Pelodiscus sinensis: one gene and its partner. The protein of the gene in region 2 purifies or fractionates together with the protein of the main gene of each other region. This does not show direct contact. Links are inferred from orthologs where the notes say so. Each region holds a gene or a part of one and is shown on either strand. Other genes may lie near its edges.

Evidence for each region.
Region 1: the proteins of JAZF1 (region 2) and NR2C2 purify together in Homo sapiens (affinity purification with mass spectrometry; 4 studies listed by BioGRID and IntAct, with this or other methods). This does not show direct contact. The link is inferred for Pelodiscus sinensis from reciprocal best matches to the Homo sapiens genes JAZF1 and NR2C2.

Annotation. Positions count from the first base shown.
Region 1 is NC_134721.1:20,680,087-20,696,334, forward strand, and holds the start of NR2C2 (nuclear receptor subfamily 2 group C member 2), read right to left. Parts: upstream 7,991-16,248; 5' UTR 7,740-7,990; intron 1-7,739. UniProt on the Homo sapiens protein: Orphan nuclear receptor that can act as a repressor or activator of transcription.
Region 2 is NC_134712.1:195,790,837-195,807,286, reverse strand, and holds the start of JAZF1 (juxtaposed with another zinc finger protein 1), read right to left. Parts: upstream 8,466-16,450; 5' UTR 8,320-8,465; coding exon 8,205-8,319; intron 1-8,204. UniProt on the Homo sapiens protein: Acts as a transcriptional corepressor of orphan nuclear receptor NR2C2. Inhibits expression of the gluconeogenesis enzyme PCK2 through inhibition of NR2C2 activity.

The DNA of each region.
Region 1 (16,248 bases), on a different chromosome or scaffold from region 2:
AGAGGAGAGGCCGTGACAGGCAGGCAGCCGCATTTAGGATGTTCTGGTCAGTTACAGTCACTCCGGCTGGATCCACAGCCGACACGCAATTAATGTAATTTCCTCTCTACTGCCGGTAGGAGGGGGGCAGGGGAAGGTAGGGGTTGGTGGGAGAGGGGAAGGGAGAGGAGGAGGGGACGAGGGTGTGCCAAAGCAGCCGCTTTCAGGACGTTCTGGTCAGTTACAGTCACTCCGGCTGGATCAACAGCCGACACACAGTTAATGTAATTTTCCTCTCTACTGCCGGGAGGGGGGGGCAGGGGAAGATAGGGGTCAGTGGGAGAGGGGGAGGGAAAGGAAGAGGGGTCTCCCACTGACCCCTACCTTCCCCTGCCCCCCCCTCCCAGCAGTAGAGAGGAAAATTACATTAACTGCGTGTCGGCTGTGGATCCAGCCGGAGTGACTGTAACTGACCAGAACGTCCTGAAAGCGGCTGCTTTGGCACACCCTCGCCCCCTCCTCCTCTCCCTTCCCCTCTCCCACCAACCCCTACCTTCCCCTGCCCCCCCCCCCCCCCCCCCCCGGCAGTAGAGAGGAAAATTACATTAACTGCGTGTCGGCTGTTGATCCAGCCGGAGTGACTGTAACTGACCAGAACGTCCTGAATGCGTCTGCTTTGGCACACCTTCGCCCCCTCCTGCTCCCCCTCTCCCACCGACCCCTACCTTCCCCTGGCCCCCCCCCTCCCGGCAGTAGAGAGGAAAGTTACATTAACTGCGTGTTGGCTGTGGATCCAGCCGCAGTTAATCAATTACTCTAACAACTTGAAGCAGCTGCCGGAGCACTTCCGGGTTGCAGTTGGTGCCGGACCATCAGGTGTACCGGACCACTGGATGCCGGACCACCGGAGTTTTACTGTATATATGGTCATGCCAATTCTCTTTCAGAATATGATCTGAGGAAGTGGGTCTGGCCCACGAAAGCTCATCACCTATTAAACCATTGTGTTAGTCTTTGAAGTGCTACATAGTTTTTCTTTTTGTTTTAGCAATATCAGACTAACACAGCTACCTCTCTACTACTATTTAACAAATTGGAGGAATTGGAAATGGATATTTAAGGAAGGAGAGATATGTTCCAGTTTTCCAGTAATATTTATACTATGTTTTTACAGACAATTATTATGTACCTTAGTCAAGCATAAAATTGACTACTAGTAATAAAAGTCCCTGGCAGAACATGACAACTAAGAATGTGAAAATAAACATTTCTGATTTTTCATCTTCAGTCATATTGGAGAAGGTCATGACCTTAATTTTAGTGGACTCTTCCTGGTTATTAAAGCAATTCAATTCCTCAAACTAGATGCCAGACACTATGTGGAACAGTGGTGACAAGTCAATTACTATCCCAACAGAAGATAACACCTTTTTGTAACTGCATATCCATATTTACAGTATGAATTATAAATTTTTTTGCATCAGTTTATTATAGTATTATGAGTTTGAATCGTAAGTAATGTGATGAATTATATTCCAGTGTAGCTAGCTAATATGTCAGTGTGACAGACTGCTGGCTAAGCCAGAGCTCTGCTACCGTAGCCTGACTAAGGGAAAACAGCTGAGTAAGCCCAGGCCTGCAGGGCTATCAGAAGCAGCTGTGGGCCTCACAGAAGGAGAGCTATATAAGGCGGAGGAAGCAAGCCACAGGGGGAAGAAGGAGTGGCATAGTTTGTGCCCAGGTAGAGAGATGAGCTGGCTAACTTCTAGTACCTAGAAGGGAGTGGGAAGTTACAATAAAAGGCATGGGTGACTGCACCAGATGGCTTGTTGACTGATTTGTGGACTAGCCGATGGACCAGACCCAGGTGCCTGAGTGGGGACTCTGCCACATGTGGTACCAGGAGTGGGGTGCAGCACCAGCGAATGTGGTTGGTGGCCCAGAAATGGAGGAGACCTTGCAATGGCTGGTCAAGTAGCAAGAGAAAGTGCAGCAGGCCCTGCAAAGTTTTCAGCAGTCCCACCAGGCAGAGAGACATGCTTTGCTAACCTGGCAGGCAGAGCAGCAGCAAGCCTGCAGGAATTTATAAAAGAGCAGAGCAAAGTGCAGCAGCAGCAACTCCTGAAAAACTGGCGAGTCCTGGGGAAGAGGATGGTACCCGGCCGCCAGGCCTGGGACTCTAAAATGGAGCCAGCAGATGACCTGGATTCATTTTTGAGGACATTTGGGTGGGCAGCCATGGATGCTAGATAGGATGGCCTACCTGGGCCCTGCATCTGGCTCCCTACCTGGCAGGAGAGGCTCAAGCGGCCTATGTGGCCTTGGAGGATGACCAAGCCCATAGTTATGAGGCAGTAAGAGCAGCCCTTTTGGACCAGGTGGGTCTGTCCACAGAAAAGTACCAGCAGAAGAAATTTGTCAGCTTGATGGACCGCAGATGTGAGGCCCAAAAGCTACTAGACTGGGCAACCCGTTGGCTGAGGCCAGAGGCACAGATGGTGCAAGAAATACTGGACTCGCTCATTCTCGAGCAGTTGCCTCAAGCCCCTCGGGAGAGTGTCTGTGTGGGTTAGGTGCCACCAGCCTGACACACTTAATGCAGCGGTTAGGTTGGTGGAGAAGTATGTAGAGGCAAAGGTTCCCCGGAGAGAAGGCCAACCCTCTAGGGACAAGGAATCAGGGAGAAAGCCAGAGGAGCCCCTTTCTGAGAGGTCCAGAGAGGAGGGAGTCACCTCGAGGAGCAACTGTGGGGGCTGGCACTATGACCAGCTGGCAATGTGGGATGCCAGGGCATAGAAAGCAGGACTGCCTGGACCGTATGGATTGTGGACATGTGGGGTTCTGCAGGGTGATTCAGATCAGAGGACCTGACAGGAGGCAGTGTCTGCCCACTGTCCAGATCCGGGTGAGGAGAAAGGCCCAGCGAGGGCTAATGGACTGCATCGGCCCACTCGCTCACACTGGATTCTCCCTGGAGTAAAGGTGGCACTAGAATGTGTCCATGGGGACAAGAGGTCCTGCCCAGGTGCCACTGGAACTGAGAGGCCGTTCCGGTGGAAGTGGGTGAGGGTAATGGACCAGTTACCGTATCCAATGGTGGTAGGTCAGGACTGGGACCAATCTGCCACAGAGAGCAAGAGGGGAGCCTCAAGGAAGGTCAAGAATTCCCCCAAGGGAGACAGAGGCATAGCCATTGGTGCTACAGGTGTGAGGAACTAGGTCACGTAGTTGGGTGGTATCCCAGTCCGGTAGGGACAGAAAGGTGGGAAGCAAGTCTGGTGGTAATGGGTAGCCCTTCTCCCTCTCAGGGAGATGAGGCACAAGTGGATTGCTGCCCAGAGCTGTCCCCAGAAGTAGAGACATCAATCCTGGTGGGGGAAGATAGTGCAGCACAAAGAGGAGACCAACCCTGATCTCCCCCTCCTCGCCCCTCCCCCCCCCCCCCCCAGTGCAGGTTAGAGCTGTATTGGAGGAAAGGCCACAACAAGGCTGCGGGTGGTGTGAACACCTGTGGGCAATGCCTGAAAAATTCGGGCCTGGCCCTTTCCACTGTGACTTTCATGGGGAGGGAATAAAAGAGCCCCCTGGAAAAGCTCCAAGGGAGGGTTTGTACACATGTGGGGATTTGCCCAGAAGGGAGACCCCCCCCTTAGTAAGGGCCAGAATGGCCCAGGGAGGGTGGAACCCCAGGGCAAGGAACAACTCCCCAAGGGAAAAAAAGGGGAAAAGCCAGCCCCAGGGGCAGAGTGTGTTAAGGAGAGGCAGGCCCAAACCTGACACTTCATAAGTGGGGAGGAGTGTGACAGACTGCTGGCGAAGCCAGAGCTCTGCCAGGGTAGCCTGGCTAAGGGGAAACAGCTGAGCAAGCCCAGACCTTCAGGGCTATCAGAAGCAGCTGTGGGCCTCACAGAAGGAAGGCTATATAAGGCAGAGGGAGGGCCGGAGGAAGAAAGGGGGGAAGGAGCCAGGGTGTGGCTCAGCATGCTCTCAGTTAGAGAGAGGAGCTGTCTAGACTGTAAACTTTGTACATAGCCGGTGGTGGGAACTTACAATAAAAGGGACGGGTGACTGCACCAGAAGGCTTGTCGACTGATTTGTGGACCAGCCGGTGTACCAGACCAAGGGGCCTGATCAGGGACTCTACCACAGTCAGCCATACAATATTATGCTGTAAATAGATTGTGGGATGGATTTAAATTTTCTGATGAAAAGAGAAACTCCTTAAATATACCAAACTATAACTGGTTATTTTAATGTTGTATTTACTGTGTATGCAAAAGTGAATGTGTTGATAGCATGAGGGCTTTGGGACCTGCTGATACAGGTTGGATATCCGTGGTCTGGCATGATTGGGACCAGTCAACAAAATCTGCTGGTCCAGGGGAGGGGTTCCCTTCCCCAAGCCAGCTGGCCCTCTGACTCTGTCCTCCAACCCCCACACATTATGGCTGCCAATCCCAGCCCCAGACTGCCTTTGGTGGCCAGGACTCTCTGGCTCTGGCCCATGCTGCTGCATGCAGCCACGTTTCCCCAGCCCCGCACTGCCATGGGTGGCTGGACTTCTCTGGCCCCTAGTTCTGCAATTTCCCAGCTCCACCCTGATGCGTGCTGCTGGGATTCTCTGGTTCCTGGCCAAGCACTGCCCCCGGCTACTGGCCCTCCTGCCTTTAGGCTCTCTGGTTCAGGAGCATCCGAGGTCTTGTCGGACCATGGATGTTGCTGGATCAGAGAGTACCAGTTGTCAGAGGTTGCAACCTGCACTATGAAATAGATGACAGTTGTTTGCAACAGTTGCAGTAGGGATGTTAAATTTAGATTAATCAACTAATCAGAGTTGGAATTTCCATCGATTAGTCGATAAGGGCACTTCTGCTTTGAAATGTAGCAAGAGTCTGCCAGGTTGTTGCTACATTTCAAAGGCGGAAGTGCCACACGACTGAAACACTGTATACAACCTGGTGCCAACAGGAGACTTAGGGTCCCCCACTGGCCCCAGGTTCCATGCCATGCTTCCACTTTGCAATGTACAAGTGCCCTGGTGGAGACTCCTGTACATTTCAAAGGCCAAATGCTTCCACTACACCCCTGCCTCCTCCCACAGAGCTTTTAAACTGGCTCCCCCAGCACCCCGTTTTCTTCTCCCTTCCTTGCTGCTTCTTTCTGATAGAGGCAGCAAGGGGTTGGGGAAAGAGACTAGCCAACTAGTTGATTAGCTGCTAACAGCCCTAAGTTACAGCTGAATATTGTGAAGCAGTAAGCTCAAAGAACAAATCTGTTTCAGCACCATTTTGTGTAAACACTGTTCAAGCCTGGTGAGCATGGTCTATCAATGGTTAGCTGAAACAGCTGACTAAAGTTTGCCCTTTCCAACACATTTCAAATGAAGCCATGGCCTCATTAAAGTCTATGGAAGCTTTCCACTGACTTCAATGGCACCATGATTTCATAGTTCATCTTCAAATTCAGAATGTAAAAATGTCTGGCCCAGCATCATTCTGCCACTCCCCACATGCACTGGCTCCTGTCTGCTGCTGCTTCCCTCCCTGCGCTGCTACCTCTGTATCAGAGGAAGGGGGCTTCATATAACCATTAAGATTAATCGATGAACCCAGACTCATTGGTTCATGTAAATGGGTACACAAAAAGGAGGGCATGAACTCTTTGGGAGATCAAATAAGCCATCAAGACAGATTCAGACCCAGAGAGACTGGGTGATTTTTTTTTTTTTTTTTGAGGGGAGAAGACTGACATGTCAGTTATTCTGATATAACACTGTTGCATAGGCATAGCCTTCAAGTCCTGGGCTTCACAACATCCTCAGGCAAGGAGGATTTCTTTAGCTCAGGAATAATAAATATCATATTTTGTTTAGTTTAGTTCTGTAACAAAAATGAAAGATGGTTTGAATACCAGACAAGGTCTCGTGGGCTTGGTTTTGTTTCAAGGGATGCAATTTCCCTCCTCCTCTCTTCTCTCCCGTTGTTTTTTTAACCATATAGTGGAGATTCTGGTGCTGCTGTATTTAATAAAAATTATATCTGCTAAATAAAACAAGTAATCAGGAACTGTATACACTGAATAAAAGGTCACTTATTTTCTATCTACACCTTCTTCCTTTTATCTTCCCAGTCTACAGTTGTGACACCCTTCATTGTGACAGATCCCACCTTGCTTTGCAAAATACTTCTATACAACACTGTAACACCCTCTCCACAGAACTGAAAGAAACAGCCAATTTATTACACAGCAAAGAACATAGGTTGGCCAAGGCACTGGTGTAAAATTTGTTCTACCAAAAAGGCAACAAAATCATTACTCTGAGAAGAAAGCAATCACAAGCTCTGAGGTGAAATACTCTTCATTTATTGCACTGGGGCGAAGTGAAGCTGTGTCATTTCGGGAAGGTACAACCAAGTCCAGCAATGCTGGGATCTGAGCCTATAGGTCCCAAGGAATCAAACACACTATCAAAGTTCTTCTCAGTTAGGGGAAACCCGATTACAGCGTGTCCGGGAATACTACAGGAGTCAGGTAAACTGACTACTTGGCGCAGGAAGGAAATAAAAATCCTATGGCCAGGTTGCAGTGCAGGACCCAGGGAAAGGACAATTAGCGAGGGAAAGGCCAACGCTGTAAACCCAGGCTAACATCTCAACGCCAGGCTCGGCAGGAGCGGTCCGTGGATAACAACCCCGCATCCCAGAAGCACTTCAGCCAACTGCGCCTCAGGATCCAAGTGTTGAGCCAGCCCCACATGCTGCCTGGCTCCTAGGAGCCCAGGAGACCCAGCTCGCAGCAAGCGCCATAGACCTCCTCCCGCACTGATGACCGCAGCTCCAGCGCCGCCGGTCACTACACTCTGTGCCCCGAGACCAATGGGCGCCGCGCTCCCAGCCCTTCCCACGCCCCCTGGCGTGAGAGCCGCACAGAGCAATTTTTCTCTGAACCCAACAGGAAACCCCGCCCCCTGATCTAACCAATCGGCACAAGTTAAGGCGAAAAGGCCCGCCCCCAAGGAGCGGATTGGTTAACGGGTATGCCCGTTAGGCCGCTTAGCCCGCCTCCCGTCTAAGAAGAAAAACACTCGAGGGACACCGCGGAAAAACACAAGATGGCGGTGCTGGCTGACAGCCAAGTCCCAGGCGGAGCCGACGCCATTAGACCCCCCCCTTTCCCTCCGGTGTGAGCTCTGTCGAGTTCCGAAGGGCCCGGCCCTGCCATGGGGGAGCGGCCGGTAAGATGGCGGCGGTCCCGGCCCCGTATGCAAAGTACCCACCGCCCCCTCCCCTCCGCCCTCCCGGTGGCAAAGGTAAAAGGGTCGGGTTCAAGCCGCCGCCTCCGCCCGCTCAGACTCCATCTTCCCTGTGTGTGGCCAGGGTTCCTCCGCGCCGTGGCCAGACCCCTTCTCCCGCAGCCCGCCCGGAAAGCACGCTGCTCGCCCGCATGCCGGACCGACTCGGAACCTAGGCGGGCCGGACCCCGCCAAGCGGCTCCGAAGCGGACTCGGACTCGATCGGCCCAGCTATTCCCAGAGACCCTTTCCCGAAGCGGCCTGCGAGCCCAGCCAGGCCTAGGCACGGTCGGCGCTCAACTACCACGGGCCCCCGGAGGCCGAACAAGGGGCCCGCAGGGCTGGACTCTGGCCGTTTAAACCGGGCGTTCTCTTTTCCCTTGGAGCGGCTTGGCCCGACTCCATTCCCGCCGCCCGGCCCGTTACGATCAGCCAGCGCGGGGTATTTTTATTTAGTAAAAACATTTACCTCAGACTTTGGCGCCAAATGTGCCCCGACGGTGACCCGGGTCCGACCGGGCCTGTTGGGCAGCGGTGCCAGGCGACGGCCCGGAGAGGGCGGGGGGAGGGGTGCTCGGGTTAGTATTATTTGTTATGGGGGGGGGGGGTTGTTTTGGTTTTGCGCCGTGCCCCTGTGAAAGGTCAGAGTTCGTGACCCCGCCTGCCGCTGCTGCCGCCTGGGAGCGTTTCCCCGCTTCCTCTTCCCAGCCCCACGCCGGCCACGGCCCCCTCCTCCATCCTCGCGGGGCGGGGCCGGGGGACGGCAGCGGCGGGGAGGGGCTACCTGAGTGCCTGGATGGAACGCTCACACACCAGCGTTCCAGCCGGCCCCGGGGGCAGGAACGGCGCTTTCCCGCCACCGTCCCTTACCTTCGCCCCCGGCATTGCTGGGACGATGCTGTGCTGCTGGAGCTCAGACTGGAAAACTGTGCGGCCTCCTTTTGTCTCTTAGTGAGGGGAGAGTGAGCAGACGCGTTTATTCCCCTCCCCCGAAGTTATTGTGGTAGGGAGAGGTCACAGAAGATAGCTTAGACATGGAGATTACTCTCCTCCAAACCTTATTACTTTACTGTGAGGAGAAACCCTTTATCCCAGTCAAGTTCTGTGGTCAGTCATTGTTTTCCTCCTGACCCGTGAGGCTTGTGTATAATCTTCTACTTTGAGGTAATTGCCTTTTAATTTAAGGTCGGTTATGTGTAAAGTCTGTGTGGATGCTCCTCAAAGCTTTACCCTGTGGCTTATACACAGGAATTAGAGGTGTGACTGCAGCATGGGTAGATGTACTCAAAATAACTTGAGTCTAGGGCAGGGGTGGGCAATAAAAAGGCAGAGGACCTCCAGGGTTAGTCCCTGCTGGGCTGCTGCTATAGTTACTGCACCTCTAGGTATTGGTGATTGCAGCTCTCATTGGCCACAAATCACCATTCCCAGCCAATGTGAGTGCCAGGAACTAACCCCATCAGTCTGGATCTAGCCTGTGGTCCGGTATTTGCCCACCACTGGTCTAGGGCAGTATACTAGGTATTTATGTCAGTATAACTTTGCTGCCCAGGAGTATGAAAAATCCACACTCCTGAGTGACACAGTTAAACTGACCTAACCCACAGAGCAATATTCCCACTAATCTTTTTAATTGGTGTGTGGATTTTTTTCCATCCATGTGCGGAATAACTTTTATATGCAAAGTATGTGCACATGTACACCATTGGAAACCTAAAGCTTAGTTGTGGGTGCACTGCTAATCACCTAGCTCGCATGTGAATTTCTCCTGAGGGGCAGCATAAGCACATAGCGAAATACTGCCCAGAGTAGACCACACTAAGTGGAAGGGAAAATTATTCCGTAAACCTAGCTTCTATCTCTGGGATAAATGGGTTATGTATGCTAACAGGAGAACTCCTCCCTTCTATGAAGGTAGTGTCTTCACTGACGCATTGTAGTATTTTTGCATAGACCAGCCTTAACAGCAGTATCACTTACAGTGAAACTGCAGCAGCACAAACTTCAGTGCAGACCGTATAAACCTGAAAGGAATGCTTGGTTCTGGTTAGTAAGATAGGTAGCCTGCACTGCAATTTGTGCTGTCATGGCTTCACTGCTGTTGGTACTCCTGCTTGCAACATTAAAACTAGCTGACATACATCTAAATGAGCATGAGTTAACTGTAGACATACTCCCATGATGTGTTTTCATCAGTAAAAATGTGCCATTACAATGAGATATTTATATTGGGAAATTATTTTTTTTACTAGTGAAAACAGTTGAAGGAGGTGCCCTGTGCTTTTAATCAGCATAGAGTTTGCTTATGAAACCTTCAAAGGCTATGTCTTGACAGCCAAAAAGGAGATTTTATAGTGAGTTCTCTTTTAAAATCCTAGTAGAGATAAGGCACAGGTAGTTTTTCTCTTCAGTGAAGAGGCCAATACTTGTAGAATCATGCGTCTCAGGCTAGACTCCTGGATTAATAGTTCACTCTTCTTCTGTTCACCAAGATTTTGGATGTCATAGCAGAAAGACATCTTGTGTATAGTAATGAATAAACATAAAGTAAAATCTTCAAAAAATAGCCAGTGTGTATTTAATTTATTTTTATAATAACTGGTGTGGAGAAGAATTATTTTTTTAAAGTGAACTTTTAAAATATGATTTATAGTTAACTACAAATCTAGAAGCTTACCTTTTAACATGTAAATATTCTATGTGAAGCTTAAAATCATTAGGACCTGGAGAAGATATTTAAGTATTTTTGTAAAAGGTATTTCAGATAAAATCAGATAATAGAACTAGACTTAAGAGTAGAATATTAGTACTTAGTAAAACAAATATAGTGACTATTGTGGTTCTGCTTGTGCAAGTATGTATTGGTTGCTGTTTCTCCATTTAAATATCAGTCTTTCAAAAAATTTGGCCTTGGTTATGGAGAGAGGTATTTGTGAACTTTACAAGGGAGGCCTAGTTTGGAAAAGCCCTACCATTTCATAAATGTCATTTGATACAACTGGCATGTGGTTAGAAAGTGTTTTACCATTTCTGAAATGTACATTTATCACAATATTCAAGTGCTTCTCAAGTAAACTAAATTTGTCTGGAGGTTCTCTAGTGGACTCTTAGACTTCTTACATCACTATTTATACAAGTATCTGCTTCAAAATGGGTTGTCATTTTTTGGGGTGGAGAATAAGGGATGTGAATGGTTAATGGGTTAGGCTTACTGGTTCCGGTTAACTGATGGAGGCTGGAGCAGCTCTCTGCCCATCACAGGTTGGGGGCTGTTTCAGCCTCTCAGAGCCCACTATGGGAAAAGAGCACTTCAGCTGGCTGGAGAAGCCCCTATCTGCAGCAGTCCATCCTGGGTGCACCACAGGAGTGACTAAAGTGAGAGTTTTGCTCCAGTAAAAGCTATAGTTATGAGTCTGAGGTACATGTCTTTGCTGCACTGTTCAGCATAAAAGAAAAAGCAAAATGCTTAAAAGTAGTCAAGAAACTACTGTTTGTACAGTACCTGTCGGGGGGAGGGGGAGCTGCTACAGCCCAGTTGGGCTGGCATGCCCCCCCCATCTTTAATTACATTTAACTGGTTAACCAGTTTACTAGGGATGTAAAATCCCATTTAAGAGGGTTTAATGAGGAGAGAGGGATTTTTGTTTTTTTGTGAAGTTTTAGTTATGATGGAAAAGCTTTAATAAAGGCCTGTCACATGAACAAATTATACAGGTTTAAATAAATTGGCTTTGAAACTGATTAAGTTAAACTGGTGCAATCCCTGTATTGATACTCTTAGTTTGGTTCTAAGAGTATTTTATCCATTTAACTCAAGTTGATTTATTTTATTGTACTCTATGGCTGATCACTTGTCTCATTATTTCCTTGCTACTTGCCCTTTCGGTCTGTCTGTCTATCATCAATATGTTATCTCTTGGCTTATCCTTACATTGGTGCAAGAATGGTGTCTTTTTTTTTCTTTTCCAGTTTGTGCATATGATCAATAGCTATGGGTCCTGAGAAATAATAATAGTGTGCTGTTTTACTATATTGTCAGCCTCTTGGCTTTGTAGTTAGGAAGTTTGCCTCTCTCGAACACAGATACCAAATTTAAATCTGCAAGATTCTTGTTTCTTGAATACTTTTAAACATTTCTGCCTGTTTTATGCTTAACAGTCACCAAAGGCATGTACTTCAGGCTCATAACTGTGGCTTTTACTTGAGTAAAACTCACTGAAGTCTCTGGGAAGTACAATAGGCAGCCTTTACTCAAAAGATTATATCTTAAAGCCCACACACGGACATGCCTTGTTGGTTTTCACATAAACAGTGGCAAATTGAAATGTTGAGCTAACCTTTTTATTAGCAAAAATGCATTCTTTGATCTTGGTGATATAATTTTTGGAGCAATATTGGGTGAGATTTCTAATATTCTGGTATTGAATTAACAACCAGCTGGGGGTCTGATTACAGTTTTGAAGATGCTACATTGTGCTATGTAGCTTTTTTTTTCTTCCTGGGAGCAGGTCTATAACCCCCCCCCTCCAATAATATTTACTGTTAAAAAAATTATTCACTGTTGCATTCTTACTTAAATAGCTTAAGTGTGTGAAAGTCTTGGTTAATAAGCTCCTAAACCATAAGTAAGGGATATATGTTATGGGGGGGGCACTCCTTTTTTTTTTTTATTTAGAAACTAGCATATTTACCCGATGTTGCCTGGGGTTTTATGGAGAGGCTCAGGGTAGGGAGCTGGAAATGTGGTGGGAGCAGGAGTCAGGGTTGGGGGATGAGGAGGGGTTCTGGACAGGGGACTGTGTGGGAGGAGAGAATGTGGGGAGGGCAAAGGCTCCCTTCTCCCTCCCCTCTCCCCCCCCCCCCCAAAAAAAAAAATCGTACCAGGGCTTCTTGCTTCTCTGGCTCCTCCTGTCAGGGAGTGAGAGTAAAGTGCACAGCTAGCCTACCCCTGTCCTCCACAGCCAGAGTGAGGGAGGCAGCAAGCTATGCACTTTCCCCTTGCTCCCTGATGAATGGGAACAGCCAGTACTGTGCTTCATATGAATCCGGGTAAGAGGGTTTCAGTCCTTTCTACCCTCCCTAAAGGGCGCTAGGATGTGGAGAGGCTTTGGGCGGGGCATTTTTGGATGGGAAGGAGTGTCCTGGCCAGCCCTTCACTTGTCTGGTAATTGTCTCTTTTCTGTATGGTTTTATGAGAAGCAATCCCATTCCAGGCACAACCAAACCCTTAGGCTGCTTTGAGTTATGGTAACAGGAAGCTGTATACCAAATTTGGTCCTAGCTTTTACCATCTAGGAGTTCTCCAAGAAACAAACCCACACACACACACACTCAAATATATATTAGATTGGTAAAATCAACATTTATTAAGCAAATTTTCGTGTCTCCTCAGGCTTCATATGAAAAAATTCTGTTCAATTAAAAAAAAATGCTTAATGTATAAGAATAGTATTCTTTGATAATGCCAGTAATACTTGAAAGGAAGAAGTAGAATCTTGCTAATTCATACTAAGGAGTGGGAGATGCTTTACTAAATAGTGTACATGAAAAAGGAGATTTTAAAAGATTATGGAAACTATATTAAATCTTCCATAATATGAGAACAGGTGTCACTCAGCTAAATTTAATTGTTGCATCAGTATAGAAATCTTACCCCACTATGGTCCTGAATAGGTAAGATCATTATGGGCTCTAGAACTGGATGATGCACTAAATGTTGTGACAGTATTGCAGGATCTCTTTTCTAGATTATTGTATCCCTTTCAGGAGTCTGATTTGTCTTGTGTACCCCCAAGTTTCATCTCACTTAAACTACCTGCTTAGAAAATTTACCAAATTATAAATGTCTCAGTGCACTGTTAACAAAAAATTGCTTACTTTCTCATTCTTAGCATATAATATGAAACAACTGGAATATTATAGGACTATAATAGAGTTTAAAGAGAAGCTAGATAATTTCATGGAGGTTAGGTCCATAAAAGGCTATTAGCCAGGGGATAAAATGGTGTCATTGGCCTCTGTTTGTCAGAGGCAGGAGACAAATCACTTGATCATTGTCTTCGGTCAACCCTCTCTGGGGCACCTGGTGCTGGCCGCTGTCGGCAGACAGGATACTGGGCTAGAAGGACCTTTGGTCTGACCCAGTTCGGCTGTTCTTATGTTATGTTATGTATTAATATTGTGCTACTTTTTCCAGTGTATAGTATTTAGAGCAGTACAGGCAGTCCCCGGGTTACGTACAAGATAGGGACTGTAGGTTTGTTCTTAAGTTGAATTTGTATGTAAGTCGGAACTGGTACATATTGTAGGGGAAACTCTAGCCAAACATTTCTCCAGAGCTCAGTTTTATTCTCCCACACCTCACTTCCCTCAGTCCTTTATTCTCAAGCTAAGGTGTCTGCTGAGAAAAGCCGCTCCGCGTCTCTCTGGTCTGCTGGGGGGAAGCAGCTAGTGCGGGGTTGCCTCACCCCGTTTGTAAGTAGGGATCCGATGTAAGTTGGATCCATGTAACCCGGGGACTGCCTGTATAAGCAAATCTTTGTATGGAATTTTAGTTTGTACAGACTCAGTGCTTTTTTATGTAGCCTCTTGTAAAACTAAGCAAATATCTAGATGAGTTGATGCAGAAGACTTCGGCATGCCCCAGAGTTACACATACCTCTTTATGTATTTATACAGAACATTTTTGTATGTCAGTACAGGGGTTCCCTATGCACTTGTGGCTGAGTGTACTAAGAGGGTACTTGTGTTGACAAGGGTCACATAGTTACATAGTGCAGATATTTTTTTAAAAGTTAAATATTTTTATGATCAATAGTAAGTAAAATAATTGTATTTGGTTGGAAAATGTTTAATCAATTCTTATGCTTTAGGGTATGAACTAATATGGGGACCAGAAAGGTCTGTCCTCATTGTACAGTTGAATACACAGGCATTTCATTTATTTATTTATTTATTATTTAACTTTAAATCCTAGGGTCAGGGTGACTATCGAAAGAAGGATATTGAATTTGGACTCCTGGGCTATGTGGTAAAATACATTATTTCATAGATTTGAGTTCTGTAAATAGATTACTAATATTGCTTGAGAGCACAGCAGACCAAAAGGTATCTTTTAAACCATTTCTGCATATCAGACAAACTAGGGGGCTGTACCCCCTCCTTGCTACGCTCGCCCCTTCCCCCCTCCCGTGGGGTAGGCAACCCCTGGCGCTCTGCCTGGCCACTGGGGAGGGCTGGGCTGCGGCCACGCCAGCCTTTGCCCTTTCTCTTCACCCCCCCCTGAGCTGCGCCACCCCAGGCCCTTTTTCCTCTCTCCTCCCCCACCTCCTCCTCCCAAGCCGCACTAGCCCGGGCCCTTTTTCTCTTCCTCATGCCCTCAGCAGTGCCAGCCCAGGCCCTTTTTCCACTCCCTCTCTCCTGAGGCACACCAGCCTGGGCCCTTTCTGCACTCCCCCTGCACTGCTCCAGGGTGCCCCAACCCAAGTCCTTTTTTCTCTCTTCCCCGCCCCGGCCTTGCCATCCGGGGTCCATTCTCTCCCTCTGCCACTCCCCCTCGTCTGCGGCCTAACTGCCCCCGTCCAAGGCTGTGCCAGGCTCTGCGCTGCCCCCAGTATCCTGCTGGGGCTCTTCTGCATTTCAAAGCTGGCATCTGCATGCAGCCTGGAGTCAGCAGGACTTCCTGCTGGACTGGGGCTGCATGTGGAGTTCTGCATTCCTCCTTTGAAATATACAAGTGCCTTCTGACTAGTCGAGTAGTTGATGGAAATTCCATCGACTACTCGACTCGTCAATTAACCACTAGTTAACATCCTTAGAACGCATACAGCTAGAGATTGTTTAATGAAAAATCCCTTCAGAATTTATGAATAGGAAAGATTAATTAAATGACACTTATACAGCTACAGCATGTGTCCTCAGAACATGCTTTCTGCCAAATGTTCTATGCCAGGGGTTCTCAAACTTTGTGATACTGCGACCCCCCCCCTCTAAATTGCTTGTGACCTCCTTTTAAGTTGCTCCCGACCCCCCACGGGGGAGGGAGGGTGTCTGGACCCACAGTTTGAGAAACGCGGTTCTATGCAATACTTAGTTTTATATTTTATAGAATCTCATTGGTAGTATTGCTTATTGTTTTTTCTTACTCCAGCTGTACTGCTGCAATAACATCTTAAGTAAAAAGTAAATTAAGAGCCATCATTCTTTCCAGGCTATTAGTCAACGACAAGTAACAACTTTTAGCCAAAATTTGTTACTTGTGATGCAATAGTATATTACAGATATTATTCAGTGAACTGAAACTAGCCATACTCCTTAATATATGCCATACCCCCTATTATATGGCTTCAATGATTGTAAGAAGCATTCTAGAGGAGTTTTTAGTGTAAAATTCAAATGACCAGTTAGTATTTTGATTATACAACAGTATTTGTCACAGAGTTTGAGATACACTGTAAACATAATTTGGCCCCTTTGTGTATATATTATTGATAGTCTTTTTTGCGTTGTTCTGTTTTTCTTTCATAAGACCCTTGGCTCATTCAGTGTATAGGATATATTCAGCTAATTTAGTGTTTTCAAAGTGTTTATATTTTGTGGACCCCAAACATTTTGACTGGAGGTATGGGCCCCTTTGGAAATCTTAGACATGGGGAAGTCTGCAGTAGTTAAAACTGCTGTGTTAATTGAATGAGTAGCTTGAATGAGTGAAGTAAAGGGTTCTGTGGAAAAAGTAGTGTGTGATCATCTAATGAAAGTTACCAGTTAACCGTGGCCCCAGTTGGTCTGAAGCAGCCACCCTTCAGCCCAGCTGGACCTGCTGCACCATGGCCAGGGGGAGGCGGCACTTCAGACTGGCCCGATTTAAGCTGTTAACCCATTACACATAACATTTAACTGGTTAACTGATTAAATAAGATTTTACATCCCCAATCAAAATGCATTTTCATAGGCTGAATTATGGCTTTACAGTCAACTTT
Region 2 (16,450 bases):
GTAATACAATATTCCTTCCTACCTCAATAGGGACCTACTCCTTCTCATCCATTGAAAGTTTCTTATTGACTCTAAAAGAGGTTGGTCAGGCCTTAAATACATAAATCCTCAAAAGAAAAAAAATCTGTTTTTCTCTATAAAATATATAGATGAACTACTACACCATTCAAAATATTTTGTGCCTTACCCATACCGCATCTCATCAATGATACTCACAATATAATACTTCATTATAGCACCAATAATCAAGTCAAGTCATTGAATCTTATAATAAAACAGCTCCATTAGTATCTATGGGTATGTCTACACTACCACCCTAGTTCGAACTAGGGAGGTAATGTAGGCAACCGGAGTTGCAAATGAAGCCCGGGATTTGAATTTCCCGGGCTTCATTTGCATAAAGCTGTGCGCCGCCATTTTTAAATGTCCGCTAGTGCGGACTCTGTACACGCGGCACGGACTAGGTAGTTCGGACTAGGCTTCCTAGTCCGAACTACCGTTACTCCTCGTGAGCATCAATTTTTTAGAACAAGTTATACTGAATTGGTTACTGTAAATTGCCTTGTGTGTGTGTGTTCAGTAAAGACTGAAAGATTCCCTTTTCATGCTTCAGAATTTCAATTAAATACTAAGTCACACACTCCTCAAAGCTGGGGGTAGGCAATAGTTTTTTGCCACAGGCCACTTCAGAAATTTTTGAAGTAGCCCCAGGCTGTACCGAAGCAGGGGAGGGAGGGGAAGGGTAGGATACTTCCCTGCTTCCCCATCCACAGACCAGGACTGGTCTGGGGTTGGGGTAGTGCCTTTGCTCCCCCTCCCCAAGGTTCCCCATAGGCACCCATGCCCCTGACAGTGGAAGGAGACTTCATGCGCTCCCCTTCTGCCACCAGGCCGATCAGGGTTTGGGGACAGGGAAGCACGCAAAGTCTCCTCCTGCCCAGGTGCTCCTGGCAGGGTGGAGGAAGCTTTGTGCACTCCCCCATACTTCAAGGCTCTAATTGATCTCTGGGTGGGGGAGTGGCAGGGCCTCCATGGGCCGGATTAACCCGCTTAGTGGGCTGGATCAGGCCCGTGGAGGCCCTTTTGCCAACCCCGTCCTAAATGATAAAAATGACCCAGTCTTCATTTTCACCATTCTCCCACTTTTCCTTGTCTCTTCAGAGCAGTTATTCGCTAAGACCATTATGTAACTCTAATCCACCCCGATTCCATTTGATTCACATTTGTTACCTACACACCTGCTAGGTATGGAGGGAGGAAAACAGTGCAGTTGAACCATGCATGCACAAAGGTAAATCAATTGATCACATAGTACGATATCAGCACCAACCTGATATGCACACTTGAGAAATACTGAACTCTGGTCACTACAAGTCATGAAGGCAAGAAAACTGTTTTAATAAAGAAGATCAATTATTCTAACTGAAACTGTTTCAGCACCACAAGACCACGATGCTTGCAGTATAAACCTTTCGGGAGCTAGTGAGTCCTGCTCTTCAGGCTGGAGTTGAACTACAGAAAAATGCTAGTAAGAGGTAGAAGGATGAAGAATCAAATCACAGAATGCCAGTAATGGGGCTTGCTCGATGGTCTTCAGCAACTGCTGAGAGAAACCATAAAATGAAGTTTAAATCTGCATCAGAAAATCAAAATGAATTTAAGGACTGCTCTGCAAAAGGAAAGGCTGCATACAGTAATGTATCTGTTCCTTTACCACATATTCCTACCTTCCGCAAAGCTAATACAATTTATAAGACCACAATACCAGCCATGTTTCCTGTGGAGTCTGCCTTTGTGCTCAAGCCAAGCCCTGCACATTTTATTCTTTGTCTTCCTGCCCTGCTGGGACCCGCCTGTAGCTGCTCTTCATTCCCCTGCACACCCAAAAAGGGGAGTTCATTGGATTACAGTCCTTGCTCTGTGTCATTCCACAGATCAAGGAATAACAGCTGAAATTAAGCATCTAGTTAGTGTACAGAAAAGTCAAACATGTAGATTAGTGAGCTGGGTTGCCTGCATTGAAGCCAAACCCCAAGAGACAAGAAGATTCTCCCACAAACCAGGCTGCAACCCTCCGTTGCCTGCACTTTCCATCATCTATGCTTCCTGGGCAAAGAGGCTCGGAGTCTGGACAATGTCATGAAAGCTAAAGCCTACTGGGTAATGGCAAGCTCTCTCAAAATAATTATCATAGAAAAGAATCTGATGAATTTTACATCATCTCTATCTAGGAACTGTAGGCAGAAAATGGAGGCAGAAAATGGGAATGAGGGTTATCTGTTATGGCAACAGAATAAGTTAATGCTGTGCAATGGAGGGGTTGTTCCCACAGAATTTGGTTCCTTTACAACAAGGAGTGCATGGGGTCCCTTTGGTAGGCCTGAGAACTATTTTTGACAAAGCCTAACCAAGCCAGAAGGTTCCACCATAGATTCTTAAATATTAGATTGCAGATTTGGTATATATTGGGATGAGTCTGTGGCACCAAATGTGAGTTTAATTATTCTTCACCTGCCAACCACATAAAGAGATGGCAATGCTTGGTATAGGTTGTATCTAATACATAAAGTGAACATTAAGGCTCTACAGAAGTCCATTGATAGATATCAAGTTTGTCACATTTGTCACATGGAGGAATTTTGTATTTCTAAGTAAAACAACTACAGAATCTCTCAAAAACGTCATCCACTGACACTTGAAGGTAAAAAAATGTTACTGGGGAATTTTGGTGCCAAAACATACAGGCCAGTTTATACAGGCAGTCCCCGAGTTACGTGGATCCGACTTATGTCGGATCCGCAGTTACGAACGGGGATTTTCTTGCCCCGGAGGACTGGAGCGGCGGGACACCTGGTCCCGCCGCCCGCCTCCTCCGGGGCGAGAAAAGCTGCTCCCCGTCTCCCTGGTCTGCTAGGGAAGCCAGCAGACCAGGGAGACGGGGAGCAAAGCAGCGGAGGACCCGGGCCGGACCCACGGCGCTGATCTGGAAGGGTCGCGAGTCCGGCCCCGGGTCCTCCGCCGCTTTGCTCAGCATCTCCCTGGTCTGCAGACCAGGGAGACGTTGAGCAAAGCGGCGGAGGACCCAGGGCCGGACCCACGGCGCTTCCAGATCAGCTAGTGCCCCCCCCAGCAGACCAGGGAGTCGTGGAGCAAAGCCCAGGGCCTGTGGTAGAGCAGGTGGGGCGCTGCCGGTTGGTCCCGCAGCACCGCTCCTTGGCGCTACTGGACCAACCCGGCAGCACCCCAGCTGCTCTGCCCCAGGCGTCCCCAAGTCAGCCGCTGCTGAAACTGACCAGCGGCTGACAACAGGAAGCCCGAGGCAGAGTTGCTCTGCCCCGGGCTTCCTGGAATCAGCTGCTGATCAGTTTCAGCAGCAGCTGACTTGGGGACGCCTGGGGTTCTTAAGTTGAATCTGTATGTAAGTCGGAACTGGTGTCCAGATTCAGCCGCTGTTGAAACTGATCAGTTTCAGCAGCGGCTGAATCTGGATGCCAGTTCCGACTTACATACAGATTCAACTTAAGAACAAACCTACAGTCCCTATCTTGTACGTAACCCAGGGACTGCCTGTATATAAAAGCTGTTCTTAATCACAGTATATTGCACCTTACTCTATGAATATTGGTGGGAAAAACTGACCCTTAAGTAGCATTGAAGAATTAAAATACTTATTTTGTCCTTTTCCCTCTTTTACATACAGTGCAAATTAATAAATTCAAATCAATCATATTTTGTTAATAGTCAAGATTCATTCTAACTCTGAAAACAGAAACTGTCAGAATCACGTGTTATGTTTAAAGACCCCAATGTTGCAATCTGATTCATTTGGGCAAAGCAATGGGATTCCATGTTGTAAGGATCCGTCCACACAAAGCAGATTGCAGGACCAACTGTAAACTAACAATAAACCTTAACTGTTTGCATAACTATTGTCCAAGACAGTTTTTTTAAACTAACACCACAATCAAATCTATTTCTATTGTTTTTATTTTTACAGAAAAGTACAAAGAAGTCTTCAAAATCATCATTTAGTCTTAAAAAAAATATTACCATGTTCTCTATATGTCCAAAATGAATCCCTTCCTGGTTTTATATCAACATGACAAAAATCACTCAGAGAATATTACAGTATTGTGCTCACAGCACACAATGTGAACACAGTTTTCATAGGCTCCCCATTTTCACCTTTCAAAAATTTCCCTTTCAGCTGAACTTTCTCATGATAAAATGGAAAAGTTTTAGGAAGTTCTGAAAGTTTTGTTAGGATTTTTCCCAAGCAGCTCCATGAATGTAATGGGGTCTTGCTCATGTGGAAGAGCTTATAAAGTCTTAGTGTGATAGAAGAATTGTGACTCAGTTTAACAGTTGTAACTCTCAATGACTTTACTATGCATTGCATCTATATACACTTGAGGGAATAACAAAATCAAACTAAGCCCTGACTTCAATGAAGTTGCAGAATCTTACACTGAGCTTGAATTTAGCTCAGAATTCTTCACCAAGTTAAAATGTTTCCAGTTGATTTTACTGGCTCACCTCTGATAGGATGTATTTTTAAAATATAAAACTAGAAATCCACTTAAGATCCAATTCCACACCAAACTCAGCATGGACAGACTTCTGAGCCCATGCAGTGATTCGCTGGCTTACATACAGGAAAAAAAAATGCGCACATTTGTAGAAAACCATTAAAGATGTTTGAAAATCACAAGCACTATATGCCATTTTCCACAAACTTGCGTACTGTTATTTGCTTGTGTAATCCCATACAGAAGAACCTTCAAATAAATGTAGTCAAAGCAGTGTCATATCACATGCTCATATTAATGTATAAATGGATATCTAATATGTGATCCACTGCAATTTTCTTTTAGAAAATAAAAGCATTACATATAAATATATATCAAAGTAACATTAATTTTAAGTGTACAAATATTAACAAATTAAATATATAGATTCCTAATGTAACTCAGCCGTTCCCTTCATGCATATGAAATAATTCTGTACACTTGTACATCAGTGGTTCTCTTATTGTGGTCTGCAGGCCCAAAAATGATGTGTGGCTTGGATTATAGCAGGGGAGGGCAATAATTTTTTACTCCAAGATTTTGGAAAGTGATCAAGGGCTGTACTCATCCATGATGTTAATGGAGGAAGTGCAGGGTCTGGGATGGAAGTTGGGTGCAGAAGGGAGCTTGGGGTAAGGGATTTGGCTGCAGGGAGTAAGTGGGGTCTGGGAGGGAGTTTGGGTGAAGGAGACAGTTCTGACCTGGGGCATTGGACTGGGGTGCAAGAGTTTGGGTTGTGACCTGGAGCAGGGAACTGGGGTACAGGAGGGGGTGCAGGGGTTTGGGTCGTGACCTAGGGCAGGGGCATGGGTACAGGGTCTGAGTGGGATATGGGTTCAGGAGCAAGACAGAGGATTTGGTTTATGTAGGGTAGAGAGGAAGGAGTGGGAAGGGAGAGGGTTGGAGAAAGGGAGGGACTAGAGCGCCAGAGGCAGGCTCTGGCAGGGAGACTTACATGGGTGAATCCCAGCCAGCAGTCCAGGACATTTCTCAGGCAGGTTCCCTGCCTGCCCTGCCCCCGCACAGGCTGCAGGGGCCACATGAGTTGGTCAATATGAGCCTGAGGGGAGGGGGTGGAAAGTGGTGCTTTGGGCTGCCTGTTCTTCAAAAAGGCAGCTCCCATTGGCCAGAAATTGGCCAATGGGATTATGCTAGATGTGCATGCAGCATGTTAAGGACTGCTCCTGCCTCCACTGGGCTCACAGATGAAGCAGCTACTTTTCTCAGCTGTTTTGGGGGCAGGGCAAAAAGGGAGTCTGCCTAAGGCTCCCTGCTGCATCCACAGGCTGGATCCGGTGGTTTTGCAGGCTGGATCCATCCCACAGAAGGTATTTTGCCCAGGCCTGGTTTATAGCATGGCTTCCCAATCTGGGAGGATGCAAACAAATTCAAATGGGTTAGGGCAATCATGACAATCTTCGCTTTACCTATGTCTTATTGTGATGACCCAAAACTTTTTCCTCGTGTAACATGGCTTACACACTATAGACAAAGATTAAAATTACTGCATTATAGTATAGTTCCAAAATGAGAATCCATTATAACAACATAGATTGAGATTATAATAAGAGTACACTAGGTATTTTTTTAGTTTGAGATGTGGTATGCTAAACCTAAAAGAGAATTGCTGTTTGTACATTATTTTATCACATATGCAAAAATGTATGGTTATGGGAACCATACTTTGGAATTTCCTGTTCTGTGATTTAAATTGCATTTAACACTTTCTTAATGCAGTTTAATCTAATTTTTAAAAGTTTATTACTTCATAACAATTTCAATTATTTGTTCAAATGTTTGGCCTGCCTATTAAAGAAGTCATAAAATGGAACAGCATGTATGTTTCATCACTGTATAATGGCATAAGGCTCATTTATATATTTACTGAATGATAGCAAATGTAGTTATTTACACCTTCTTTATAATATAGTACTCTTATCACATCAAAATGAATCACTAGTCACTAATCTGTCAAATTTCTACTTTGAAGAAAATTATATTTGACAGCTTAATTTATATTCTGTTAATAAAATTCAACAAAGCAGTTACACAGAAGGGTAGCCTAAAAGTCACTATAACATGTAGCTGTGTCAGTTTCAACATACTAGCAAATACGGTGGGTGAGGTAAAATCTTTTGACCAACTGCTATTGGTGACAAAGAAACTTTCAAACTCTGAATAAGCGTGAAAGCTGGTGTCTCTCACCACTTACCCACTTTTTCCCCCTATTCAAGTATTAACTCTTACATTCCACACAGGGAATGTAAGATCTGAGGAAGTGGGTCTGGCCCACGAAAGCTCATCATCTAATAAACCATCTTGTTAGTCTTTAAAGTGCTACATTGTCCTGCATTTTGATTCCACACAGGGATTCTCAAAAAAAACCCACAGCCGACTTGCTGGATTTTTCTTACGCTTTTTTCAAAAACAGAGTTTAGCATCTATAGAATGTAGGCCTCATATTTTCTCATCTGCTCACGTGTTAACAGGAAGAATTTTTTTTTTAAAAAAAACTTTTTATTCATGTTAACTTTTGGCTTTGCATAGCATGTCGATTCCCGGGGCAGCCCTCACCCATTCATACCTGCCCATTACTGCAAACTTGCTGCGTGGAGATGCAAAGCCAGGGGCAGCCTCCCGAAGGCAACAGAGTGACGAGTCATCACCCCACCCCCTGCTGCATAATGCACTGGGCATAATCCCTGCCCCCACTCCCCTCGGAGCGAGCGCAGGGCGGATCTTCACGGCGAATTCGGGAGCGTGGCATCCAGGGCAGGGGACTTGTTGAAAGCGCTTGTCTGAGCAACACGGTGCACGGAGGGGGGGGGGAGGGGAGCGAGCGAGCGACCCCACAGGTGATGACCAGACAGGCGCAGCGCCAGCCCCAGAACCCCGGCGGGAGCCGCTCCGAGGCCTGGCCTCGGCTCAGCAGCAAATGGCAGCAGCAGAATCCCCGCCCGCGCTGCACCGGGGGGTGCCTTCTCCCCCGGCTGCCGGAGTCGCACGGCGTCTGCCGACCCCGGGCACGGCACCAGGCGCACGCAGACCTCGCCCCTGCAGCCGCCGCCGTCGCTTAGCCTCCACCCCCGCCGGCGGCGGGGTCCTCCACGCCCACCCGGCCGCCGGCCTCCCCGCCACCCTTCCTCCCTGGAGAGGCGCCTTCAGGGCAGCGAGGCTGCCGCGGGCGGGCAGCGCCCCATCCTCCCCACCACACCTAGCAACAGCGCTGACAGGACGCAGCAGCGGCGAGGAGGAGGAAGCGGAATGGCTGCCGCCGCGGCTCCCTCCCCGGAGCCCTGACAGCCAGAGCCGGGGCGGAAGCAGCAGGCGGCGTGCCGTGCCCGTCCTCCTCCCCCTCCCCGCGCCGCCTCCGGCTCCCGCACTGCCTCCTGCCAAGGCAAACTCACTCCCCGCTGCAGCGCCGCCCCCGTCCGCAGCCCCTCGTGCCCCCCCTGCCTCCCCACGCCGGGCCATGCCGCCTCCCGCGCCCCCGAACACGCCCATGCCCAGTATGCAGCCGCCCCGGCACCTTCTCCTCCGCCCTGCCCGTGCACGGCATGCACCCCCCCACACACGCCCCCTGCACATGCAGCCCGCCCCAGCGCTGCGGCGGGGGTCCCGCTGCCGGCCACTCACCGATGTGGTTGTCCTCAATGTGCTCGATGAGCTCAGCCAGGCTTGGGAAGTGGAGCCCGCAGCCCCCGAACCTGCAGGTATTGGAGAAGAAGGAGGCGGCGGCGATGCCTGTCATGGTGTTACATTGAGATCCCCCTGCGGTGCCTGCGCTGCCAGGGCCGCCGGCGGCAGGGCGGAGAGAGGCGGGGGAAGCGGGGAACGGGACAGAGAGAGATGGGGAGCGAGAGAGAGGGTGGGGGTGGGGAGGAGGAGGTGGCAGCGGCCGCGGCGGCAGCAGCAGCGTCGGGAGCGGCGGAGGGGAGGGACGGGCTGGGTGGGGGGAGATGAGGCAGCCGCAGCTGGGAGGAGGGACCAGTGCTGCACTGTAACAGCTGTGCTACCCCAGCAGCCACCGCCTCCTCCAGCAGCAGCAGGATCAAGGGCCCCAGGCCACACTCATCACCTCCTCAGGGGGAGATTTAGCAACAGTTCACATACATATATGTTTCAGTGCTCAAAGACTGTGTTAGGCTACATGTCTTCAAGTGTAAAGTTTTTTTGGGGGGGGGGGAATGTTACATTTATGTGTAACTTTATTTAACTTTTTTCAGTAGCATGGCAAGTGGGGAATTAAACAAGGGCTCATTTTTGTTTACCCCACACACATTTGTGATACTCTTAACTGATTCTGAACAGTATCTTACATCATAATTAGCACCTCTTAAGTCAGTAGGACTACTTGTGAAATAAGATATTGCACCTTATTGTGAGTAACCTTATTTGCTGGTGCACAGAGGGGACCCATTGTTCAGGAGTCCACCAAGCAAGCTGAATAGTGTGTTCACCTAAATCTCACACAATCCCCACTGTACTGTCAGCACCAAAAAGATGCGGAGCACTCCCAATTTAGGGATGTAAGCAAGTAGTCCAGTATTGCACTACCCTATAAGGTTAAGTTTATCAGGTAATAGAGAACTCAACTATTTGCTCCCCCCCACACACTTGCTGCCTCTGTATGAGAGGCGGGGCGGGGCTGACTTAAAAGCTACTTGCCCACAGCATTGTCTTCCTGGTGCTGCCTCCACCCCACCGCCACTGCCTCTATCAGAGGCAGCTTCTGCCCATGGCAGGTTGATGGGTTGCCATGGGCAGAGCCTGCTCCAGCAGCAGCCCCATCTGTGGGGGTCTCAGCAGGTAGCTGCCCCGCCAGGGAGAGGGGCTGCTGCCACAAAGCAGCTCCTATCTGCAGTGGCCCAGGTTGGCTGCAGGCAGACATTTTTCTGTTTACCGCACCCAGGGCCAGCCTCAGACAGGGGCTACTGCCGGAGCAGCCCCTGAGCATGTGGGCCAAAAGGCACTTACTATGTTTAAAATGCAGAGCTGCAGCAGTCCAGAGCTGGTGCAAGCCAGGACTGCTAAGTCCTGACTTGCATCAGCTTCAGAAGCTATCCCCACTGTGGCTTTGCAGAGCAGCTCCCCTTATTGACTAATCGTGTAGTCAATACAAATTGTATCTACTACACAATTAGCAAAATAACCACTCTAACATCTTTACTCCCTACCAGTGTTTCCTGTAAGCTGTGTGCTTGGGCGGCTACCCCGGAGAGATTCAAATGCTACCCAGTTGATTGGCAGAGTGCCCATAACTGGCAGTCTGTGTTTCTATTGGTGGTGCACAACTGTACGTGCCTTGGTGCACATAACAAAATATATTCCGTACACAGGAAAAATTTAGAGTGACCATTGACCTCAACCCATCTAATTGAAGTTGAGGTTATTCAGCTACTTGCAGAATCCTGATTCTGCAGACATACAGGTGCTTGAACTGTAAGTAATCTGTTGAAATCATATGGGCTAGCCTAATTAATAATATTAGGCATATGCATAACTGTTTAGAGGATTGAGGGATGAAAGTAGCAGAAGGTCTAATTGACATATAATTTCCCTTTATATATTTCTTTCCAGGATAGATCTTTGTAATATAAGGGCCTCATTCTGCTAGTCTTTGCACCTTGAACTCTTAAATTGGCTAGGAGAACAAGAAACCAGGATTGCACTGTGATGTAAGACAGCTAGAACTGAAGAAAGAAATTAACATAAAAATGCAAAACTCACTCTCAAATCCTATTTTGACTTTTGTCTCCAGAAAGCTAGTCACTGGAGAGGCTGACTGATTAATTGATTTGAATGAAGCTCTCCCGAGGCTGAAGTTCATAGACAGCTTTATTTAAAATTAAAATAAAAAAAAAAGAGCAAGAGCTTGCCTGTCAGGTGGGTTTTTCAAAAAAAATTAATCATCCCATCTTTGCTATATTGCATATTATGCTAAAATAATAGTAATAATTCTAGCAGAACCAGTTCTGCAAAAAATGAAGATACTGGCTTAAGACCCTCACTATGCAGATACTTCTACATGTGTTTAACTTTAGGCATAAATGTAAACATGCATAAGGGTCTGCAGAATCAGATTTAACAACTGTATTGCCCTCACAGCTGCTCCCATCATTGATGAAGAGGTGATTGCCTAAAAGTAGCAAAGCTTTCAAGGCAGCTAAATGGGTAGAGACTGCAGGCTTAGAGGGGATGCCAATTTGCTTAGAGCATCAGAAATCCTGGAGCCAAATCTGACTGCTTATAATACACTTGAGAACCTAAAACCTCATGGTGACAAAATAGCCTGCATCTTAGTTCACAGATCAGTTTCCTAATTTTCATATAAATTAGCACTGATTGTCCCTATGTTGCATAACTTCCAATCAAAAAATTGTGTTTATATATAATTTACTCGTACATTAAAAAAATCATGCACAAAATTTATTTTCCAAAAAATATAGATTCTAGGAACATCTGCCTTCACTTCCACACTCTAAGGCATTCCATATAAAAGTTAAAATTCTCTTGAGTAATACACAGGTTCATTATATCTAACACCTGTCATCTATTTGTTTATATCAAGCATATTCATTTCACAGGCCACTTCTCTTTTCCTTTAAATCTGTCCTCAAGGCACACTTCTTCCATGTGCCTTACAAGAAATTAGTGAACTAGTCATTGACTAAAGTGAAAGGGCAGTTTGGGAGACAGCTGATCCTAATTAAGACCTCAGTCCTGCAACCATTGGTGCAGATGCTTAATTTTGCTACTAAATTTTATAGGGTTACTCAGGGAAATTTTTTTGTAGGTTTAGGATTTAAAACAACAGACCTTAAGCATTTTTCTTAGTCATAGGTATCTGATCTATAGAGGAGTGATAGAAATGTAGCCATGTTAGTCTGGTGTAGCTGAAACAAAATACAGGACTATGTAGCACTTTAAAGACTAACAAGATGGTTTATTAGATGATGAGCTTTCGTGGGCCAGACCCACTTCCTCAGATCAAATAGTGGAAGATCTATAGAGGTAGATCCTAGTCCTATGCAGAGCTCTATTAAAATCAGTAGAGCTCTGTATAGATGCAGTGATCTGCAGCTCAATTTGGACTCTTACAGCCTTAAATGTTAACCTTCGTAGGTTGGAGCCTAGATCTTTCTTTGAGATAGTGTCTAGCACATTGTGAGCTTTACAATTATATAAATAATAAAATTTTACAGAGAGGCAGGACACCAATACTCAGCAGAACGAGTACTGTGCACATTAATTACATAAGAGGCTGATCCTGCATCATTACAGTCAATGGGAGTTGTCTCATTGTTATCCGCACAAATTTCTCTATCCCTTCCACACTGTAGGGACACACACCTTTACCTAGTTTTAGGGATCAAGATGCAATCCTGTTAATTTACACACTCACCCTTACCCAATTCCTAGGGCTCAGGGTGGAATTTCCTGCAGGTTTCCAGGACCTTTAGCCACTAAAAGATCCTAACACAGTAATATTCTTATTCCGTTTACTATTTCCAAACAAGCAGAATACACATGCTAAGCACACAGCGTCATGGTCACCAATCCTGATATAGGTAGGCAGACTTCCTCTGTTGGCCAGGCAAGATCAGTCTCTCTGGATCTTAGTTGCTGCACATCACTGTCATGCAGGAGAATCCTGGCAGCTTTGGTCTTAGGCTACGTCTTGGAGGTGAGTAGTTTTTCCAGGTCTTCTTCCCCTTCTTCTTGGTGTTCCCTCCTGTTCTTGTTTCCCTGTTGTTGTTCTTGCCTTCTGCTCCTATTACTTTTTGGACCCCAGTTTATATAAATGAAACCTGAGTCCTGCTTAACTATACCTTAACCAATTATTTTAGTATAATTTTACTAACCAATCATAACAGAATTTCCCAACCAATCATACCCCACCACCTTAATTGATTTACACCTAGCAAAACTGATTATACCACAGACAGAAACAGTTACAAACCAGACAGAGATTGCATAGACAAACAAAAGGAAAGCGATGACAATAATCATAGAGTGCGGATTCCACAACCTCAACTATTGATAAGTAGTTTCTTGCCAGACAGAATGGTGTTAACTTAAGTTTTCTTTACCCATCTTGAAATCTGTTTCTTTATCTGGTAACAGTGGGGGGGCTATTAGGACAAAATCCCCTTCTCACAGCCTGGTGTGACACTATTTTAATTCAATTTAGTGGAATAGTGATAGAAATGTAGCTGTGTTAGTTGGTCTAGCTGAAACAAAAACAGGACTATGTAGCACTTTAAAGACTAACAAGATGGCTTATTAGGTGATGAGCTTTCATGGGCCAGATCATGCAAATTTTCTTCCACTATTTGATCTGAGGAAGTGGGTCTGGCCCACGAAAGCTCATCTTGTTAGTCTTTAAAGTGCTACATAGTCCTGTTTGTTTCATTTAGTGGAATGTGAGTGTGTGACTCTAGGCCTTACAGCTAATTGCTACTGCTCTCCACTCTAGCTGCAGAAGAAGGCTTTGGTTCAGGCTTACCAATATGGTTACAGGCCTTCCAACATGGTGACAGAAAAACCATATTGTTACAACATATGTTCAGGATCAAGCCCAGAGTGAACAAAACTGTAAATACCACTGCTTTGTCAACACTTTCCTACAAATGGTCTGAAAGAAACATTTAAGTGCTTACTAAATTCTGTGCATTTCTGGGACTTCATGACCTGATGAAAACACAATTCCCATTGAAGTCAGCAAAAGTTAGAAGTTCTGATTCCACTTCTCAGGAGCCACTCAATATCCCACAAATAGTGATCCATGTAATACCTTTCTAGTATTCTAGGGCCTGATTTAGCAGATATTAAGCAGCCTTAACTTCTCATTATTTCCCTGCAAGTTGAGCAGTTCATCAGGTCAGGCTCATGATTAGTAACTATTCCTATGATGTAGATCAATGGTCTCCAACCTTTTTACACCCAAGATCACTTATTAAATATCAGAACAAGCCATCCTTCCGCCCCATCCTTCCCCCAAGACTCTACCCCTTCCTTGAAGCACCACCCTCTCTGTTCTTCTCTCCAACATTTGCTATCCCTGGCCCTTATACACTCTCAGGCTATGGCTACACTGCTGCTTCCCCCCACCCCGATTCTTCTATAGGAAGAGGTTTTTCCAACATTTGGCCTGTCTAGACTGGGCCAAATGTCAGAAAAAAACCTTCTATCGGAAGCCCCCTTATTCCTCGTGGAACAGGGAATACAGGGGTTGCTGAAAGAGTGTGTTTGCTCTTCCGCTAAAAAAAAGCAGGACAAATGTGTCCCTGGATGTGGAAGAGTTTTTCCAGGATACCTCTGGAATCCCAGAAAAACTCCAGCAGCTTAGCTGTACACTCACTGGGTTGAGACAGTGTGGGGGCTCTGGGGTAGGAATAAGGGATTTGGGTGTGGGAAGGAGTGAGAGGTGCAAGATCTGGGAGGGAATTTGGATGCAGGAGGAGGTGGAGAAGGGGATGCTGGTTCAGGGAAGAGACTCCAGGCTGGATAGTGTTAGGGTCAGGTGAAGGGTTAGGGAACTGAGCAAGCCACAGGTTTGTGGATGTGAGGGTGCAGGAGTTTGGGTTGGGGGATGTGAGAGGCTCAGGGCACGGAGGTTGGGCGTATGATGGGGTCAGGACAGATCTGCAGTGTGTGGACGGTGCAGAAGTGTCGTGGCAGAAGACTGGGGATGTGGGGGTGCAGGAGTTTGGGAATATGAGAGGCTCAGGATAGAGGGTTCCAGTGTATGATAGGCTGAGATCTAGGGCCTGGGGGGGAGGGGGCAGGGCGTACAGGAGCGTTATGATGCTGTGGGAAGATGGGGGCTTAGCCCCAATTGGGGGTTTGTTGGCCTGGCTTCATTTTTAAATAAAATAGGTCAAACATAAAGGTTTCAGCATTGTCCCTATTTATGAGAAGGGGGGGGAAAACTTGTTTTGAGTTGAGGTCACTGACCCACAGAAAAGTCAGTCAGGGCCACATAAGTGAGATGCAAAAAAAAAAAACCCCTCTTCCAAATGCCCCCCGAGCCTCACTAATGTGGCCCTAACTGTGCTGGTGGGAGCAGGGGACATGGTACTGGGGAAGGGTGCTTGGGATGGGGATGGGGTGTCAGTGGGTGCTGAAGCAGGAGACAGGGTGCCATAGTAGGGCTCAGGGTGTTGGTGGGGGTAGGGGACAGGCTGGTGGGGCAGGTAGCAGGCTACCAGTGGGTGCTGCAGCAGGGGACAGGGTGTTGGTGGGGGCAGGGAACAGGGAGTCCCCAGCACTCGCCTCCTATGAGGACTCCTGCTTCCTCCCCCCTACAGGGGAAGCACATCCCACAGGGCACGCTGACTGCTCTGGGGACTCCTACCTCCCTTCCCCCCCACACACACAGGGGAAGCACGTCCCGGCATGCGCCTCCTCCGAGGACTCCTACCACCTCCTGCCCGCACAGAGGAAGGAAGTCCGCACGTGCCTCCTCCAGGGACTCCAACCTCCCTGCCGTGCAGGAAGTCCCTAACATGCCACAGACCTGGGTCTGGTACCTTGCTGGCTGTTTAGGGGAGGGGGAGCAGCCAGCGTACTTCCTGAAACCCCAGAAGTGAGGCACAGCTGCAGGACATCCATCCACCCCTCAGGAAGCTGGCGCTACCCCCCTTGTCACTGGAGGTAGGCAGTGAGGCTTCTTGGGGGTGGGGAGAAATGGGGAGCCCCCCCCAAACGCTTCACGATCGACTGGTCGGGCCCTACCAATCGACAAGTCGATTGCAATCGACGGGTTGATGTAGACACTCTAGGCTAGGTCTATGCTGCTGTTTCTTTTTTTCCTGCATAAAGCTTTGCAAAAATGCAGTCCACACCCAAATGTGGATATGCTTTCTCTGCCCACTAAAATGACACATCTCAATGATTTACATCATGTGGGTTTTATCTTAAAAAATGGGGGTGTGATTAATACTTTTGAGGAATGCTGGAGGGTCAGACGTGGTTTAAATGGCTGGTGCCTCCCCAATGGTAGACAGCTAATACATACACCTTGGGGTACTATGCAGCTGCCTCTGGATCACTTCCTACCAGTGTCTACTCTTCCCTTCACAATGTGAAGTACTCAATATAAAAATTAAAATTTCACTAGTCCCTCCTGTGAAGGCTTGGTTAGGTCAGTGTCTCCATGTCTCAGGCAGCCAGAACTCCTGGGGTATTCCTATCCAAGAGCTCAGGTCTACTTCCTTCTACTGCCTGCCTCAGAGCTGCTCTTCTTCCCTGTTTAATCTGTTTCCAGCTTTACAGGTGAGGTAGGGTGAAGCCATCTGGGTCCAGAGCTCCTTTATCTCTTCTCCAATGTGAGGTTTGTGTGCCCCATCACAATATGGGACCCAGAGTTTTGTCCTCCACTCTCTGGTCCCCCTCCTTCTTGGGGAAAAATCAGTGTTTTGGTGGGCTTTCCCAGCTCGGTGGAATACCTGAAAATGTCATGTTTGTAAGGAGAAGTATGTCTGCATAATTCTTGGGTTGGAATCTTTCATAATGTTCAGTGAGCGAAGAGTTGTGTGGTCAGTTACTAATGAGAAGTGGTTTGCCAACAAATAGCATCTTAAGACATCCACGGGCTGTTTCACAGCAAAGGCCTTTTCTACACTTATCAGGAGATCAGCCCTGCAGGGATCAACTTAGCAGGTCTAGTAAAAAACCCATCTACTCCAATACTCCACTGAAGCTAGAAGAATAAGGGGAATTGATGGGAGAGTTTCTCACATCAACACCGACTAAGGTACTTTGACTCCAGCAACGCTATTCACATGGCTGGAGTTGTGCACCTTAATTTGACATTGCCTGCTAGTGTAGCCCTGGCCTTAGAGTTTTCTGTAACTGAATAGACTTCTTCCTGGGGC